Linked DNA regions of Schizosaccharomyces pombe. The protein of the gene in region 1 purifies or fractionates together with the protein of each later gene. This does not show direct contact. Each region holds a gene or a part of one and is shown in the gene's direction. Other genes may lie near its edges.

Region 1 (4,949 bases):
CTCAACGAAGCTCTTTCTAGTACGATTGCACTGAGAAATTTCACGCAGGTATTTCTTCTCATCAACAATCTTTAAAGTTCCTGAGTCAACGGCGGCTTGAAGTTGTTTAACATGTTTATCAAGCTCCACTTCTGACTTGAAAGGAACAGTTTTTTTCATGGCAGTCAACTCCTTAACCTAAAAGTATGTCAGTAAACATTTTGTTTCTTTACCAAGCTCATAAAGTTTTCCAACACAAAACTTTAGTGCTTACATATATTAATGCAAAACATACCTTCTTTTTCAAAAGTTCATCTTGAGCCTTGACTTTGTTGATGAGAGTTTGCTTAGAAGAACGGATAGCTGCTTGAGCATTGCGAATATTGTCTAATTCAGCGCGAAGTTCTGCATTCTTCTCCTGCAATGAACCACCACCGCGAATGGCACCAAGCTTCTCCTTATGCTCATTCTAGTTGATTAGTTAAGATGCGAAAACTATATAAGAAACAAGTGATTTTTTGAAGCTTTCATAGTTATGAAAAAAAAAAAAAGCTTAGCCTTCAATATTCAAGAATTTAAAACTACTTACGAAACGCTTTTTCGCCTCGTTGATCTTAGCATCAAGCTCCTCCAAAGCCTCCTTGTGAAGAGCTTCATTAGGACGAACGGGTTTATGAGATGACATTTTTATTAAGGATTTTGTTGTTGGTGGTGGATAGTGGTGTGTGTTGAGTTGTCGTTTAACGAGTATATAACAAGGCAGATAAACTCCGTTTGTTTTGCTTCCCTAGAGTTTTCGTTCGCAGTGCTGTGAAGGAGACTACCTGTTTCTGAAATTTTTATAAATAGCTTTTTGTTGACGGTTATTCAGACATCGTGTGAAGAGCAGTCTAAGGAAAAGATTACGATAATACATGTTATGATATTTTTTTTTTATTTATTTAAATAAACTGGTAGTTTTTTGCACTCGTCCACGTATTATGTTTAATATTTCAATTTAAAAATCCTGAATTGTAAATTTAGTGACCTTTATTTGCAATGTGTTGACTTGAACGAAACAAGAAAAATTAATGCATTTTTTCTCACGGATTAGCTTACCGATTAGCGGAGCATTAACATTTAATTTGGGAGGTACACAAAAACAGTTTTAAACTAAAAGTTACTTGCTTTTTAAAAGCAAATAGAAATATTGCAACTAGTCTTATAAAGCAACAGGATACTTCACTTATAGAAAGCGAATTTGAAAGCATAACTATCCATTCTTTTGTTACAACTATTGCATATAAGCACAAAATGTCTTTAAGTTAAATTATACATAATATCCTTTTTCTGTCACGTAAATTGTAAGTTCCTATTCAATTTCAGGCTGTGAAAAGTCCGTGAAAATAATACATCGAAGAGCTTTACAGGTTTCACAGAATATCCCGATGCTACCCATGTAATTGTTGCATACACCATTCTCAGGAAGTTTAAGAGCACAATTTAAAAAACTATATGAATTGAGTTCAAATTACCTTTATAGAATGAAAAACAATTAATAGAATTTAAAGTAATTTACATGGACAACAAATTAAAAATAACTATATACTTTGTAAAGAGTTTTGGTGTTGTTTTAGCCAAGCAGCCTATAATCCTGCATATTGCTGATTGCTGACCGGTGAATTAATCCACCGAAGGTTACTGTCTTCTCAACACCCCAAAATAATTCGGTTATTTTTCAACTCCAAGGATATGAAATCCTTTGCTAGCGAACTATCCAAACCTATTCAAAAGCCGCGTTTAAAAGAAATCCTTAAAGAACTGCAGCATATAGGTGTTCCTTCTCCTTGCAATCTAAGATTATATCATGAGTTAATTAGTGTGATAGTGCCCACATTCTGGAATGGGAAAATTAATTCAGAAATAGATTTTCTCCTTGCAAAATGTTTTTCTACTCTTTTGGGCTTAAAACTGCTATGTGTTCGACTAGATAATTTTGTTCAAGAGGCTAATTTGCAAAACATTCATCTTGTTACAGTTTATCTTGAGCTACTGGAAAAAGCATTTGAATGTATAGACCTTGACGATAACTGTAAATTGATATGGGAATCTACTGTATTATCTGATCATCAAAAGCAATCTTTGTGGACTGAATTTATTTTTTTCTTGGGAAACTTTAAAATTACTAATTCAATGTCTGCTGCAATGCTTACCTTCAAGGTTTACGATGATTCAAAACGTTTGAAGGCTTCATCAATGGCCGACTACATTGGCGTTTTATCTTCAAAATTGGCTTGCATTATATCTAAACCTGCTGTTAAAACCCCAGAAATATATTCAAAGCTATTCCATTATTTATTACACTCATCCAATTTAAAGGCATTCATTAACCCATTGATTCCATTAACACAAAAATTTTGTGTTCAGCTACAAAAATTATTTGCAGATTTGACGGTCTCTGATCAAATGTTGTTTCTCAATCAACTTCTTCTTGAACATAATACCAAATATCCCACCAATTTTTCATATTCCACCGCAAGAGATGATCGTATAACAGGTTCATTGGCTACATTATTAAGGCTGAACTTTTCATCCACTCACTTCCTTCGATTAATTGAATTTTATTGGGGCGTCCCTACAAATTTAATAATTAAAAGGGTAGAAGTAGTTTGTTCGAGTATATCTTATAAGGAATCTGATAAAAAGGAGCTAGAAAAAACAGTGGACTCTCTGTTTAATATATGGTCAAATGCGCAATTTTTGAGGAGCTATACGCTGCTAGCTCAAGAGAGCTTAACAATATATTTATTACTATTTATTCCGAAACTTGAAGCAAAATATTTGAATAATCTTTCCAAATCCCTAATGTTCTCCAATGCAATATCTTGCCGTTTAGATAGTCTAGATGATGATATTCGAATGCATGGAATGATAATGGCCGAAGTAATCTCTACATATTCGGGTGTCAGCTTAAGTAACCCGTTAGCCTTTGACGTTCCAATAATGAAGACTACGAAAGCAAAAGTTCTCAAATCGTTGAGCTCACTCAAGGATGAATTTTTGCCTATTGAAATTTTGAATGACGAAAGTGTTATCGCAGAGACTTCGATAGAAAAGGAAGAGACGAATGTAACTCACTTGGAGAAGCCAGTGATTTCTAAAAACGATGACTTAATAAGGGGAGATGACTTGGAGCCTTACGATTTTCCTGATATTGACAGTGAGGACACGGACGACGATCCAACTGTCTCTAGATCCAAGACGCATTCTCCTGTGTACGTACAAGATTTGTGCAAAATGTTAAAAGACACAGAAAGTTTTGAGAAACAACGTGTTGCACTGGAAAACGCTTCTAAGTTAATAAAACGAAAGTCTGCTTTTGGAACCGAATTACGAGATCATGCAGATGAATTGTTACAAACGTTAATTTCCTTACAAAATCGATTTGACTTAATGAACTTTGATGAAATGCAAATGACTGCTATAGTGGAACTTCTGTTAACCTGTTTAGATATATGTGGTCCTGTTATTTGTACAAATTTATTTGTTAGTGACTATTCAATGCGCCAAAAAATACTTATCTTATCTTGTATTTCTTTAGCTGCTAGCAAATTCAACGATGATGATAATGAACGTCTTTTTCCCAGCCAGTTACTTCCAGGAAATTTACACGATCAGTTTTATTCACCCACTATTGAAAAGATTAGTGATGAATTAGAAAGGAAATTAGTTTTTCCGGTAATGAGTGAATGCAAGGATTATGCGGAGGGACCGAAATTCTTACAGACACGGTATATTTCAAAGCAGTCGGAAATCGAGTCGAAAAAGCCACTCCCAAAGGCCAATCGATTATCGCTTAAGGTAGATAAATCATTGTTCCTGCTCCTCACCAGTGGTTATATGCTGGCATCTAGGAAAACGGCTTTTATTGAGCCTTTGTTTTTAGTCTACTATCTTAAGACATTGGGTATTCTCTTTTTTGAAACTTTTACCTCAAAGATAGAAGGGGCAAACAGAATGCTCCGGGAATATGTTGACGTTTTAAATGAGGTCTGCCGACTTCGATCAGACACTCCAGAAGTTAATGAAGGGCTTTTGTTTAGTTTTTTGGCTATCTTAGAAATATCTTCTGGGCGTACTTTAGCTAATGAGTTTGGGAAGCATTTGCTCTTCTTTGAGGCGTATACTAAGTTTCTTTTTGAAAGCCCTGATCAAGGTGAGAAAGTTAAGTCACTCTCAGCAGCTGTTTTAATTCTATTTGAAAATAAACTTTCAGAATTCAGAACGCTCGCATTGGAAAAATTACTGGATGACTCAGCTCCTTTGGTTCCAGAGCGATTTGGATTAGCCGGACTTTAATAGTTCTTTATGGTCATGATTTAAAAGAAAAAAAATATTATTTATGAGGTTGAAATTTTGACAGAAACTCATTAATGCATTTTAATTAAATAATATGATTTTGTAATAATAATGAATGTCTTTAGGCCAATTACAATTATTGAATTAAGTCCTTCCACAAACTTGATTTTATGGAGGATTTATTTAATTTGTTTGAAGAATACGTTTTAATCTCGCTATACTTGTTCTGTAGTTCTTGCAAAAAAACTTGGTGCGATTTGTAGGGTATATCTCCATCCGATATTTTTGAGGAATGACAGTTCAACATCGATATACTCTTATCAAATAAACCAAGTAATAAACTTATGTCAAGAGTATCGTAAAAATTTTTAGCGGTTTGTTTAAAAAGGGCGATATTAAATTCATGATTGACACTCTGTATTTTAGAGATAGTGTCCCAACAAGGAGGTATAAACATAGTTTCTGATTGAATTGTTTGAGCATGAAAATCTCGAGGTTTAAACTTTTGAAACATAAAATTATACTTCATTAAAACGTTGAGATTATTCCAGCTTGTTGGGTCCGCTGAGATAGAAACAATTGAGGACGTTGGTACGGATAAAAGTGTCGTTCGCAAAAACTGTAAAATAAAT
Region 2 (4,709 bases), 4.5 Mb from region 1:
CACTGTTGCATTGTACGATAAATAAGGTAAACTCATTGTGCTAGCTTTCGTGTGAGTACGGTTGAATGTGAGTCTTCGAGGAAGAGCAGATGTAAATGATTTGGCTAATTGAAATGGTAGGACAGACATTGAGCGCTCATTCCTGTGAAGTGTAGGTGTAACAGCAAATGATTTACCACGTTTTCTACCTCGTCCATCAAGTCGATGAGCACCTTTTTCCTGCTCAGCTCCATTCGTGTCATCTAAAGGTCAATATTAAAATCACGGAATGACTTACCAGCAAAATATATAGGCCTGCGATTATGCCTGGGAACAGGGGTTGGTGCAATGGTAATTGCAGAGCCGCGTACTACATTTTGATGTGCATCGTTAGTAGTTGCAGCAGCCTGATGATCAAAATTCGAATTTTGAGGTGAATAAGATGCTACATGTGGATCATTGTCAACTCTTGTTGTGCTGTAGTTTGAGTTTGAGGATGAAACAGTTTCCTGATTACCATCATTTGCAGTTTCTAGGGAAGGATTGTGCGAAGAGATAGAACTGTTGTTATCCAGATGATGGTTCAGTTGTGTTTGATTCTCGTGGTCATGTACTTGAGGCTCAAAATCCTCAGGAATTGTTTGAAAAGATGATTCTTCAAACGAACTAGGAATGTAAAAGTCGACAGGATTATTTCTAGCATTGTTTTGTACAACGGATAAAGATCCATTGTCGATTGATGCCATTCTTCGTTTCCCAAGAGCTGGACTTAATGCTTCAGTTCTGTCTTCATTTTCTTGAGAATTTCTAACACCTGCATAACTAGGGAGAGCGGGCATGGTATTCCCGCGAAAGAAGCTTGGGCGATCGATTGCATTAGCAAATTTCCTTAGACGAAAATGGTGCCTGTGATGTTTTTCATTCTCTTGGTGTTCAGCTTCCTCAGCCTTAGTCTCTGGGGCAACTGGCCGGTGCATTTGATTACCCTGGTCTAACAAAACCCGAATTTTTCGATTGCCAACTTTGGAAGGCTCTGGAGTATCCCTTCTTCTTACAGTGTGATAAGTATATGTCATCCTAAGTTTATTATTTGTTATGACCATGTCATATCGCTTGTTATAGAAGTACAGCTTAAACAAAGTCAAGCCCAGGTTCACAGTAATTGGTGTACTCAAAACTCCAAAAAGGAGAATAGTTAACTAAAAAATAGTTAAAAAATTTATTTAAAAATATGCATACCTGTTGGTAAATGGATATCTGCGTGAGGTCCACAGGCTGCAAGCCAGTCTGAGTACAAGAACCAGAAGCCAACAACAAAGCATCTATGTAGCGCAAATTTCCCGACCCATACAATATTACTGAACATAAAATAGTCATTCCTATTATAAAAGAATCTTGAACAAAGTTAGGCTTGAAAAGAAGTTTTTCACATACAATGGTATTCAAGGAACCGGAACCGTTTGTAGAAAAACCCGATAACTGCATGATAAAATCTGTATAATATTTTCCTTCTTAAAAACCTTCTATATCGTACAAACATGTCATAGTTTATAAAGCAGTATTATATTGTATTTGATAAAAATTACACTCACGTCGATTTCAAATAGCTTCAGTGGCTTCTTGAATAGTGCAGTTTTGCGTCCTCACTATACGATTCACCTTGAACATAGCAACAACTAAACAACATCTGACAGTAATCGTTCTGTGCTTTTTTACAGCTGTGTCCAAAATCTCGTAGTGTATCAAGTTTGGTTTCAAAGATTTATTAAAAAGTATCTGCATGGACCGAACTTTGTTATGGAAGACGGTTTTGAAAAGTCGCTCAGCAGCTCTATAGAGCTACTGAAAGCTGAAAGTACAGGTATATAAATTTTTGTAGATATTTTGATTCATTTTTTTATTTTATACTAACTTTTTTTAAGAAATAGAAGAAAAAATCAAACTAACTAAAATTTTAATTACTAAGGTTTCTAGCATATCTTCAGACGCCTCGCAGCTGTATGCAGAATTAATTCCACTACTCTTGGATTTTTTACGAAATACAGAGGTGAATCTTTATAGAAATTCTTCTGTCAATGAACTCAAGATCGAAGCATTGACTTTAATACAAAGTTGCGCTCACCGTGATGAATTTAAACAATATGCGCAGTCTTGTGTGCTTTCGTTCATTAGCTTGATTAAAGCAGATAATGAAGAAGTCGCTGTTTTTTGCTTAAAAGTTATTATGGATATATTCAAAACTTTTAAGTTTTGTATAGAAAGCACTGCACAACCCTTTTTTGACTTGGTACTTGAGCTTTCTACAAACCTTCCTTATTTAATTCCCTCAATATTTGTCGAGAATCCAAAATCAAATGAAGAGGAAAATACAACCCTGGCTTTTGGTAGTTATCTGTCTACGGAAACTTCAATCATCCAACAGCGTGTCAATTCTTTAGCTATTTCTACTCAACCTTTGGAACTGGCTTCTCAAAGTTTCCGCGTGTATGTAGAGTGTCCGGTCATTATAGTTTTGATTCTTCAAGCATATCGTCAAGCTGCTTTCCCTGGTGTTCAAGCCATAATTCCCTGTTTTCTTAAGATGGTACAAATTGATGTTCCAATAGACATCGCTTCATATGCAATGATTGAAAAAGATTCAAGCATTGACTTTATTGAGTTTATAAGGAATAAATATCAGTACCGTAATTTTTTTATGGCTCAAGTAAAGACTTTATCTTTCTTGGCTTATATTTTACGAACTCATCCCAATACACTTTCTGAGAAGGATATAATACCGGACATTGTAATAAAGCTTTTGAGGCGATGCCCTTTTGATATGTGTTTTGCCCGTAAAGAACTGCTGGTTGCTACGAGACATATTCTGTCAACAAACTTAAAATCTCTTTTTGTCAAAAAGCTGGATTTTTTGTTAGATTTAAATATATTATTAGGAAATGGAGTTGGTACTCAAAAGCTGTTACGTCCCTTGGCATTTAGTACATTAGCTGACTTACTTCATCATGTACGTGACGAACTTAACGAAACGCAAATAAGAAAATCTATAATGATTTATTCGACCAATATGCATGATTTGACTCTTAGCATTGGGTTACAGACTATGGGTGCCCGGCTCATTTTAAACATGGTTGACAGAATGATTAGTCTTCCTAGCATCCCCGATGCTATATTTCTTCTTTTATCTATTTTTGATAGCTTTGTAAATAAGTTTTCGGAACTTAATGATAGTTTGGATCAGTTTTTTAAGAAAAAGTATGAAGAAGAAATTAAAGAGACAAAGTCACCGACGCGTTCTTCTCCTAGGGATTTATCTTCATTTAGCACTTCCGTCAATGATGGATCATTTCTTTTTAAAAACTTGATGTTTGGCTTACGGGCTCTTATGTATGGGCTTCGTACATGCAAGTCTCGATGCATAGAAATTGGAGGTGAACAATTTTCGGGATTCCTTACGAATATCAAGCCTTTCGAAGCTGTTACGTTTCAGAAGCTTTTTTTTGAGGTTGGCAAAGGATTCTCATATTTTCGACCTGAGCAAGTCTATTTAGAAACTTTTTTCTGCTGCGAAGAAGAAAGTTTAGATCGCCCTGCTATATCTACGCTTCCTCGTAACAAAGACGAGAAAGATTGTCTTGAAGTATTTGCTACCATTTTTATACATCTCGAGCCATCTATATTTCTTAAAGTTTTTGAAACAAACCTTCCTACTTTTTTTGATCAACTTAAAAAAAATCTCACATTATTTCACATTCCACAGTTTTTGCTTTCAAATGAGAGCACATCATCAAAATTTTTAAATATTTTACTTCGATTTCTGCTTTCCAGAATTGAGGAACTCGGATCTTCTGACATCAGGCATGGTTCTGTCTTGTTGCGTTTGTTTCGTCTTTCTTTCGTTACAGTCTCAATGTTTGCAACAGAGAATGAGCCAGTTCTTCGGCCTTATGTATCTGAAATTATTGTGAAATGTATGAAGTTGGCTCCCAATTCTGCTAATTCATTGAACTACTATTATCTATTAAGAGCGTTGTTCCGAGGAATTGGTGGGGGAAGATTTGAAAGCCTTTATAAAGAAGTAATGCCTTTGTTGCACGCTCTATTAGAGGCATTTAATTCATTGCTTATATCTGCCCGTACTCCGAAGGAGAAAGACCTTTTTACCGAACTTTGTCTTACTATTCCTGTAAGGCTTAGTCTTTTATTACCATACATGAGTTATCTAATGAGACCTCTCGTCATGTCTTTAAAAAGCAGTCAAGAATTAGTTAGTCAGGGATTACGAACCTTTGAATTATGCTTGGATAATCTCACTCCTGATTTTTTGGATCCGATAATGGCTCCTTACATAGAAGATCTAATGAATGCTTTATGGAGTCATCTACAACCTCTTCCTTATAATTATAATCACAGCCATACTGCCTTGAAAATACTTGGTAAACTTGGTGGAAGAAATAGGAAGCTTCTTGATAGAGTCCAGAGTTTAAAGAATTCGCCGGAACCGAATAACGATTTTACTTTACTTCTTTCGATAAAAGGGGTTAAACAACCACAACTTTTACATTACACCCAATATGTTGATGAGGCTGTGAATTTGCTTTCTAGCCCTTCTAGTGATCTGGAGGTTAAGCAACAAGCGTTCACTTATGTTTGCAATATTTCAAAGCTCTATGTTTATAAGAGTGACGCTACTAACAGCTTAGCCTCATCCATTCGATGTACTGCAGACAAGA
Region 3 (3,707 bases), on another chromosome or scaffold:
TTTAGGTAGACCTTTGAGCCTTGGTGCTGTTGCGGTACGTGAATTAAGCATTTTTTTTGAAGCTAATAAGCATATAGGCTTACTGGATCCAGCAAGGGGTTTGGCTTCGTAAGCAAGACTTTTTGAACGATTGTAAAAAAGGAAATTTAGTAAGAGAAGACGGTTTTTCTATTTTTTCAATTCTACGGTGGAGTTTTCAGAAACTTGGGTTTCAAAATCAAGCCTCATCCATATTGTCAAATAGATCCCCGAGTGGGCAGTATGTAATTCGAAAAAATATTGAGAAACTTGCTTGCCTTGTACACAATGAAGCAATGCGACGGTGCAGCAGCTATACGAGTGCAATTTATACTTGGGACTTTTTTCAAGATACTTTTGGAAGCTTATACTGGGAAGAAGGAAAATTAAACAAGGATGAGATGGAATGCCTTCTTAATTGGATGTGCTATCAAAAACATGTTTTAATATTTGATTCTAAGGTAAGTTCAGATTATATGTTTTCTCAGCTATTTGTCGATACCGTTTTTTTAACGAGAATAGATAATCAAGTTTTTACCCAACAGCCAAATTGATGCTCAATTAGCTTCAATTGATAAGTCTATTGATGGGTCTGTTGCAGATCTGATACAGGCTAGGGCATCCATCGCCCAAAGATCAGAATTTTTAAACGAGGAATTGGAGCAACTTTCACAAGTGCTAAACCAAGCAGTTAAAAAGGGAGAGAAAACAATAGCAATAACTTATTTACGTCGAAAAAAGATTTTGTCTAAAGATTTGGAAAGGAAAGTTTCTTCGCGTCTGCAATTAGATACTATAATTTCTAATATTGATAATGCGGTTGACAACAAAATTTTGCTTATTGCAATGTCTTCTGGCTCTGAAGCTCTAGACGCAATTTTAGCTCAAATGGGTGGAACTGAAAAAGTGGAAGATGTCTTAGAAAACGTAAATGATACACTGGCTCGTTCGGAAGAGATTGATGCAACTATTCAAACTTACAATCCTCAAAACATTGATTTAGAGGATGAAGCCGTTGAAAAAGAATGGCAGGATTTGGTAGCTGAAGAACAGAAGGTTGAAGATATCGTGTCTACATTAGGCAATGTTTCTCTAAAAACACCATCTGATACTTTTACCCTTACTAATACTGACTCGGATAAAAAGACTTCGAAACCGGAGAAGATTCAAGCTGAGCTGGTTGAGCAATAATTTATATACGTCCTTTTTTAACGATCACTTAAATTCACGGGAAATGGTTTGGTTTACTAATAATTTATGCACATACTAAAGAATAAATGAATACTATAAAAACATTTTTCTTGGTAATAACTATAAAAAACAATAATGCTTATATACTCAATAGAACTTATATAGCTAAAGCGATAAGGTAAAGTACCTGTGTAATGAATTGATGTTAGTTACTAAAAATTTTGCTTTTTATACCTTTAAAAACTAGTAAATTGTTAATTTATTAAATTGATTTCTTGGCAACGACTTAGAAACTTACAGTATATCACATACTCTATAAGTTTATATTATTAGTGTATGACCATAGCTTAACATGAAATACTTTTTTCATAGAATTTAAGTTCTCTAATAACTAAGTGACATTACAATTCTGTTAATATTCTTTGTTTACAAATCAAACAAATAATAAAACATTAGACTTAATAATTATCTAATAGAAGTTTAAATTGGCAATATCTATGCAATATTACAAAGAGCTAGCTAGGCGATTGCATACTCTACAATCAAAAAATGAAAAAGAAGCTCTTGAAAAAGTACCGTTTTTAATTCACTATTTTCAAATTTTAACCAAATATAGCAAATAGACTTTTTGGACAAATTGGTGGTAGAGGTGGACTCGTTGGTTCATGAACAAGATTTGAGGCCATTATTAGAGTTCATTAGCCCTACTGAAAGTTGGTTTTTACTGGGTACGGCGACAATTTTTTATATTAAATTATTAACTCATCCAGACCCTGAATCGATTGATGTAGTGATTAAAGAAGCGTATGTTGTGCGCGCTCACCGGATATTAAGCATTTTTCAAGAACAGTTTATAGAAAATGTTGTTAAAGAGATCAATTGGGAAATCCTAGCTATTTTAATATCATTAAGTGGAATCGAGAATGGACTTGTACGCAATTTGTCAGAATTCCTCTCAACTTCAATCCTCAGCGCTGTTCCTAGACAAAAATTCTTATTATATCTTCTAGAAAAGTATCAAATAAATCTTTTTCATAGAGAAGAACGGTTGACAGATCAAGGTAGACCGGTTGCATTTGAATTACCACCAGACAAATTTCACAGTGATCAAAGTAAAGCACTTCTTGAGCCAAAGTGGAAAACAAAAAATTATCTCATTTCTCACCTTATTTTTTGGATAATTGATCAGCAAAGTTCTTCTAGCATTGAAGTATGTTGGCACAGAATCATTCCATCTGTACTCCGAATATTGAATGATTTATCTCCAAACATTAAACTACAAGGAATTGAGCTAGTCAACAGATTGTTAAAAATTACGGAAAGAGAATTTCTTTTATATACTGGAATTCTAAAAATTTTGAAGGACGATTTGCTCGTATTCTATACTTTCATACCGCCAAGATTTACAATTCAAACGAGTGTTACCCTTATAAATGCCTCCTTCGCAACCCTAGTTTCTCTTTATCCTGAAGAAAATGAAAATTTAAATTCTATTATGCTGAACGGTATTAATTCTGTGTTTCAGTTTGCATTCGATTATCCCCTGATTCTTCAAGCCGCATTTTCTCAAATTATGGTTTTAACTGACAAAATGAATGTTAGTTATTTACCATACCTAACGGTAATAATTTAAATTCGTTACATTTGAAAGTTTACTAATCGCACTTAGTTGACTCTGGATGAACTGTGTCGTATAATACAAAACCCACAAATCATACAGATACCATCGACACTCTCCTTTTTTTTAGAAATATTAACAAAACTATTGGAAATTTACAGTTATCGAATATCTGCACACCATGTTGAGTTATTAATGGCACTAGTGGTTTGCAGTAGAAATTATATGCGATGTAACTTACAAGAGCATCACAATGCAATTGTACAAGCGCTTCAAAACCTCTTCACTTTGATAAAATTGAACATAACTGTTGAGCAACTCGGTGATTACAATGTAATATTGCCACTGCTTGAACCCCTGCAAATCCCACTTTGAGGTACATATAAGGAAAGACTCTCCTCATTACTAACCAACCTTCAACCTAGATAAATTGGTAACAATGGTTATTCGAAAAACGATGGAAAATGGAGAATAAAGGAAATATGGAGCTGTCAAATTCTTATGGTTTTTATAAAAATGGTCGTAGGGTTTCATTCGTAAAAGCCACTAGTGAACAATCGTTGGACGAAGCCACTTTTATTGAAAAAGGATCGGCACAAGCATTTTATCATTCGTTATTTGAAAATGATAGGGATAATTCGCATACTATGAACAGCAAGAGGGACGAAGCTGGTTTTGCTTGTGAAGTGTGTCAAATATACATTCCAAATAGCAAAAAAATTAATCATTTTAAATCAATGACTCACCTTCTTTCTTCACAACATATTTCAAACAAATTTCAACCCCATTTATTAAAACCAAAAAGCCTTGGTTATCGAGTTCTTTCTCAGTATGGTTGGTCTCCCCAAGGAGATACTGCTGGATTGGGTTTGGAAAATCA
Region 4 (4,901 bases), on another chromosome or scaffold:
AGATTGCTAAAGGTAGTGAAGAAAACACTGGTGATGAAGAAAAATTGGAAGATGGAATATGATCGTTTTATTTGATAATTTCTGATTTTTATTTTGTAAAAAAATTTACCTCTTTCTTTTGTAGGTTGTGGGAAGCTAATATTTTTATGCACCTGATGCATTTTTTTTTTCTTTTGGAGCATAATTTGGGGTTATTCTTATATTTTGTTAAGTTTTTTACTGTGTAATTTCTAGATGTTTTCTCAATATAATTCGTTTTCAGCGATGTACGTTGCCATGTATCTGTGTAGAAAGTTCAAGTGATGTTTATTAAAAGATGGATTATCTCAATAGACAAAATGTTTATCTTCCATCATTTACAGATAGAAATTGAATTGGAAAAGTGCTTTCATTTTTGTTTAAACCTTGTAATTAAACCTATGTAGCGTTATACGTTGGAATAGAAAGAGAAAAGCCTACCGGTTGCGTTCAAAAATGGAACAAAACTTTATTTCTAGATTTTATCAGGTTCGTTATTCATGGCAATCTAATCAAATATACAATTCATGGTTATAATCCCAAGGTTTTACGAGCCAATCGTCGAACTACACGACAATATTCTTCTCGATCTTCTCTCCACATCTTGCACGCATCGATGTTAGCACCACTTTCATCGTTTGGTTCCGCCAACATCGACATTACCGATAACAGTATTTTTTCAACAGATTGAACAGGAGACCAACGTTCTGAAGACGACTCATACATATTTGGATCGTCACCAGGTGCATGTAGGATGGAAATGCAAACCGTCCCATCTTTGTAAACTGAAATGAAGGTTAGTCTCGAAATTTGGATTAATAGTATCTGGCATACCATTTGGATGGAAAAATTCACACTCAAACTTTAAAGTAGGGGGGCCAAGAGGATAATCCTACATAAAAAAGTTAGAATCCAATAAAAATAAAACTAAGCACGTATCAACGTGCGCTTGAACACCCCGGATGTACTGCCATGCGATTCAAAGAAAGAAACCAAACCCCCAAAAAAAAACTTAGATAGATCTTTTAAATAAAATTTCTTCCTACTCATCAATAAATCGAAGGATTCATCAATTACTAATGAATAAAAGCACTTCTCTTAAATGATCATTCTAAACGAATGGATTATTGAGTTACTTTCTTTATTTACGCTGAACAAATGTTAATTTATGAAAAAGAGCGCGTATTTTTTAATAAGTAGTTGATACATAAAACATGCGAAACATCATACTTATCCACAACTTAAATCACATGTTCAGTCTCCATCAGGTTTATAGTAAAGGACTTACGGAAGGAAATTTCAAGGTAGCAGGGTATAACCCACCTTCAAATGGAGTTCCATCAGGGCCTTGAATTAGGCAATCCCAAGTAAAGAAATCATCCTCATTCGATGGACCTGCAGTAATACCATCAGGCCCATTCTCCGTTAACTCCTTATACTCCTTCATTAACCGTCGCAACGCCATAGCTTTACTCATTTTGGAAATCAATTAACTTACTAATCGGTAAGATATATTAAAGATCACTGACTAAAAGGTAGCCTAAAAATGGTAATGAACAGATTAATGAATGAATGGTTTGTTTACGACAAATTATGCAGCTGAGGCTAAACGAACTTTTGTGGTATCACTCGCTATTTTTATCTCGTTCATCATTTTAGCAACTTCTACCGCACAAAATAATAAGGCCGTTAATTAAAATAGCGAAAACATGTAAAATTCATAAAGTGATTTAGAGGAAAGAAATGCAGCTTGCTCTATCCCACAACATTCCAATAGTAATTGTTAAATACTTAGGAAAACGTATCCGAGTGCAATTGGAATTTAAAAAAGAGCTTGCGCAGAGATCCAAGCATCTGATGGATGTATCACAATGCGAACATTGGCATAATCGGCTTTGTGATGTTGGATTAGACTCGAAGCAAAAGGCAAACACAGCAATTGAAATTCGAGATGCACTGGATGATGTGTTGGTAACTGAAAAGACGAATTTTGAAACTTTCATTCCTCTTTTGGAGGACACGTTGTCTTTGCTTGAAAAGGAACGTCCTGTATTTTCATCGTTAGCAGCTACACATCGTTTACGCATTGCATTGCTTGAATTGCTCAAGAAATCTGGATCCTATAAAGGTTTTGAAGCATTCGTTAATCGGACTTTTGCCGTGCTTCTTCGTATAGTCGTTAATGATAATGAAGAGATGGCAGTGTTGGCATTGAAGCTTGTTGTCCTTCTTTTTAAGGACCACAGTAGCCTTGCTAAGGGACATGTTCAGGAATTTTTATCCATTGTCGTTGAAAACTACAAATCCATGACCACAGTTGTTTCAGAAGCTTTCCCACCTAGATCAGCTCCGAATACTCCATCCTCTCATCCCATGTCTGCTGCATCTTCTGCATCTCCTGCTGAAATTGGAATGGAACATGCAGGTCCAAAAATGATCCCAAAAGCTTCTTCGAGTTTCAAGGTCACTGCTGAATTTCCCATTATCGTCTTTCTCCTATTTCAAACATACAAAGATCTTATTCCGAAAATGCTTCCTTTACTTGCTCCGCTTGTACTTCAATTTATCTCACTTCGTCCTCCACCTCAAGCCGAAGCTCGTCGACTTGCAGAATCTCAAAAAGAGGTTTTTATTGGTGTAGTCCCTTCTTTGCGTCGAAATCATCTTTACAATGACCTTATTTCTGCGCAAATTAAATCATTCTCTTTTCTCGCCTATTTATTGAGAAGTTTTGGTGCTGCTCTTAAACAGTTTGAAAGCTCGATCCCAATATGTACCTTGCAATTGTTCATGGACTGTCCTTCCGAATTATATCAGACTCGAAGAGAACTTTTGGTAGCTACAAGGCACGTCTTATCGACGGATTATTTGAGAGGGTTTCTACCGTATGTAGATCAACTACTTGATACCAAAATTCTAGTTGGTTCTGGAATCACTTCTCAGCATTCATTACGACCCATGGCTTTTAGCATGCTGGCAGATATGCTTCATTATGTGCGTATGGAATTAAGTCCACAACAAATTTACAAAGTCATACTTCTTTATTTCAGTATTTTGATGGACGACTTTTATACTTCAGCTATTCAGGCAATGGCTACAAAGCTTATTTTAAACTTGGTTGAAAGAATTGTTGCACTAGAAGATTTTTCCACTAGCCGATCACTTCTATTTGCTATACTTTTATGTCTCTTAAGAAAATTGACTTCTCTGAATTTCGAGTTTATGAAGCTGAGAGATTCTTTACAGGAAAATGCTGACTTAAAGCAAATTAAAATAGAAGAAAATAAACATGATCTTCCTATGTTTGAGAACCCTACTGGAGCTGCCCAACCTTCAGGTTTGGATAAGCTAAAAGATTGCATATTTCTTTTTAAAAACACCTTATTAGGTATTAAGCCTGTTTTGTTTGGACTAAAGCAACGAAATATTCCTCTTGCCAACGGTTCCATTTTTACAGCTCAGGAATGGTCTGAAAAGTTACATCTTAGTTCAACTAATGAAGTTTTACTGTTTCGAAGATTACTTGTGGAAAGTTTAAAGGGATTCAGTTATTACCAGACAGATGAAAAAACCGGTGTATTCAAGTCCTCGAAAAATCTTGCATACTCTCAACTTGATTCTTCGTTGACCACAAACCCTTCTAAACTCTTAGAAGAGAAGGAGCTCTTAGAAATGTTAGCAACTTTATTTTTACACTTGGACCCATCTGTTTTCGTCGAAATTTTGGAATCCGAGTTTCCGAATATATTTGAGTGTCTAGTAGATAATCTTGCTTTATTGCATATTTTCCAATTTTGGATGTCTAATGAAGTTACTTCTGTCAACTGCACGGGCATCGTGCTGTCTTTTTGCTGTGACAATCTAGCTAAAATAGGGTCTGGCCAATCCACTCGGGTTTCTGTTTTATTGCGATTATTCAAGTTGGCCTTTATGACTGTGAATGTTTTTCCCGAAAAAAATGCAGAAGTCCTGCGTCCCCATATATCCTATATCATTTCAACTAGCCTCGAATTGACTACTGATGCTGTTGAACCTTTAAATTACGTTTATTTAATGAAAGCTTTGTTTAGAAATATCAGTGGAGGAAAATTTGATTCTCTTTACAAGGAAATACTACCACTTCTCCAAGTAATGCTAGAATGTTTCAACAGATTGATTTTTACTGTTACGTCTACATCCCAAAAAGAGCTGTATGCGGAACTTTGTTTGACTTTACCCATTAGACTCAGTGTGTTGTTGCCTCATATGAATTTTTTAATGAAGCCATTGATTGTTGCATTAAAAGGCCCCCCTGAAATAGCTAGTCAAGGGCTTCGAATATTTGAACTTTGCTTGGATAATCTTACTCAAGAATTTTTGGATCCTTTATTGGACTCAATTATGCCGGATTTGCTGATATGCCTGTGGAATCATTCACGCCTTAATCAATCCAATAATCAATTGCATCAAAGTGCTGTGAGAATATTAGGAAAAATGGGTGGTCGAAATAGACAAATATATCTTGGTACCTTTGGCTTTGATTTTTTGCAAGATGAAAATATTTTTCCTTCAATCCAGTTTTCTTTCCAAGGCTCCTCTCAGAATTTTAGCTTAGAGCACTCCAAATTTTTAATGTCTTCATGTGCTGTTTTAAACAATCAAAATTCCGATTTAGAAGAAAAGAAGCAAGCATTTCAAATGGTCAAGAATTCGTATTTATTACTCTTTGCGTCTGCGAAGCCCGATGAAGACTTTTGGGAATCTATTGATACAATGTGCCGAGCAGTTGTAGATCGCATGGATAAAAACTTACAGCAAGTCTCTAATGGTAGGTTGTGCCCTGACAAAGATGAATCTTATTATCTGCAAAGATCTATTGTCTCAAACATTTTTAAATCTTTAGT

What was found.
Region 2: the proteins of tel2 (region 1) and tra2 purify together in Schizosaccharomyces pombe (affinity purification with mass spectrometry; 3 studies listed by BioGRID, with this or other methods). This does not show direct contact.
Region 3: the proteins of tel2 (region 1) and tti2 purify together in Schizosaccharomyces pombe (affinity purification with mass spectrometry; 5 studies listed by BioGRID, with this or other methods). This does not show direct contact.
Region 4: the proteins of tel2 (region 1) and tra1 purify together in Schizosaccharomyces pombe (affinity purification with mass spectrometry; 3 studies listed by BioGRID). This does not show direct contact.

What each region holds. Positions count from the first base shown.
Region 1 is NC_003424.3:4,733,152-4,738,100, forward strand, and holds tel2 (TTT co-chaperone complex LRR repeat subunit Tel2), read left to right. Parts: upstream 1-1,669; 5' UTR 1,670-1,710; coding exon 1,711-4,317; 3' UTR 4,318-4,447; downstream 4,448-4,949. Other genes in the region: SPOM_SPAC458.02C (mRNP complex protein), read right to left, coding at 1-177, 275-448, 569-664; dli1 (meiotic dynein intermediate light chain Dli1/Dil1), read right to left, coding at 4,454-4,949. UniProt on the Schizosaccharomyces pombe protein: Component of the TORC1 and TORC2 complexes required for the regulation of the cellular respons to changes in available nutrients. Required for normal entry into S phase. Regulates activation of the DNA replication checkpoint.
Region 2 is NC_003424.3:257,943-262,651, forward strand, and holds the start of tra2 (phosphatidylinositol kinase-like protein Tra2), read left to right. Parts: upstream 1-1,668; 5' UTR 1,669-1,776; coding exon 1,777-1,840; intron 1,841-1,901; coding exon 1,902-4,709. Other genes in the region: plasma membrane potassium ion transmembrane transporter Trk2, read right to left, coding at 1-242, 278-1,178, 1,219-1,373, 1,414-1,519.
Region 3 is NC_003423.3:3,898,341-3,902,047, forward strand, and holds tti2 (protein Tti2), read left to right. Parts: upstream 1-1,595; 5' UTR 1,596-1,706; coding exon 1,707-1,781; exon of another isoform or gene 1,782-1,825; coding exon 1,826-2,830; exon of another isoform or gene 2,831-2,878; coding exon 2,879-3,202; downstream 3,203-3,707. Other genes in the region: cmp7 (ESCRT III complex subunit), read left to right, coding at 1-34, 78-479, 541-1,209; SPOM_SPBC1604.16C (G-patch type RNA-binding protein), read left to right, coding at 3,292-3,707. UniProt on the Schizosaccharomyces pombe protein: Component of the tel2-tti1-tti2 (TTT) complex that stabilizes protein levels of the phosphatidylinositol 3-kinase-related protein kinase (PIKK) family proteins.
Region 4 is NC_003423.3:1,902,393-1,907,293, reverse strand, and holds the start of tra1 (SAGA complex, phosphatidylinositol pseudokinase subunit Tra1), read left to right. Parts: upstream 1-1,875; coding exon 1,876-4,901. Other genes in the region: ribosome biogenesis protein Yar1, read left to right, coding at 1-62; ubiquitin-conjugating enzyme Ubc7, read right to left, coding at 550-803, 853-910, 1,307-1,495. UniProt on the Schizosaccharomyces pombe protein: Essential scaffold subunit of the transcription coactivator SAGA complex. SAGA acts as a general cofactor required for essentially all RNA polymerase II transcription.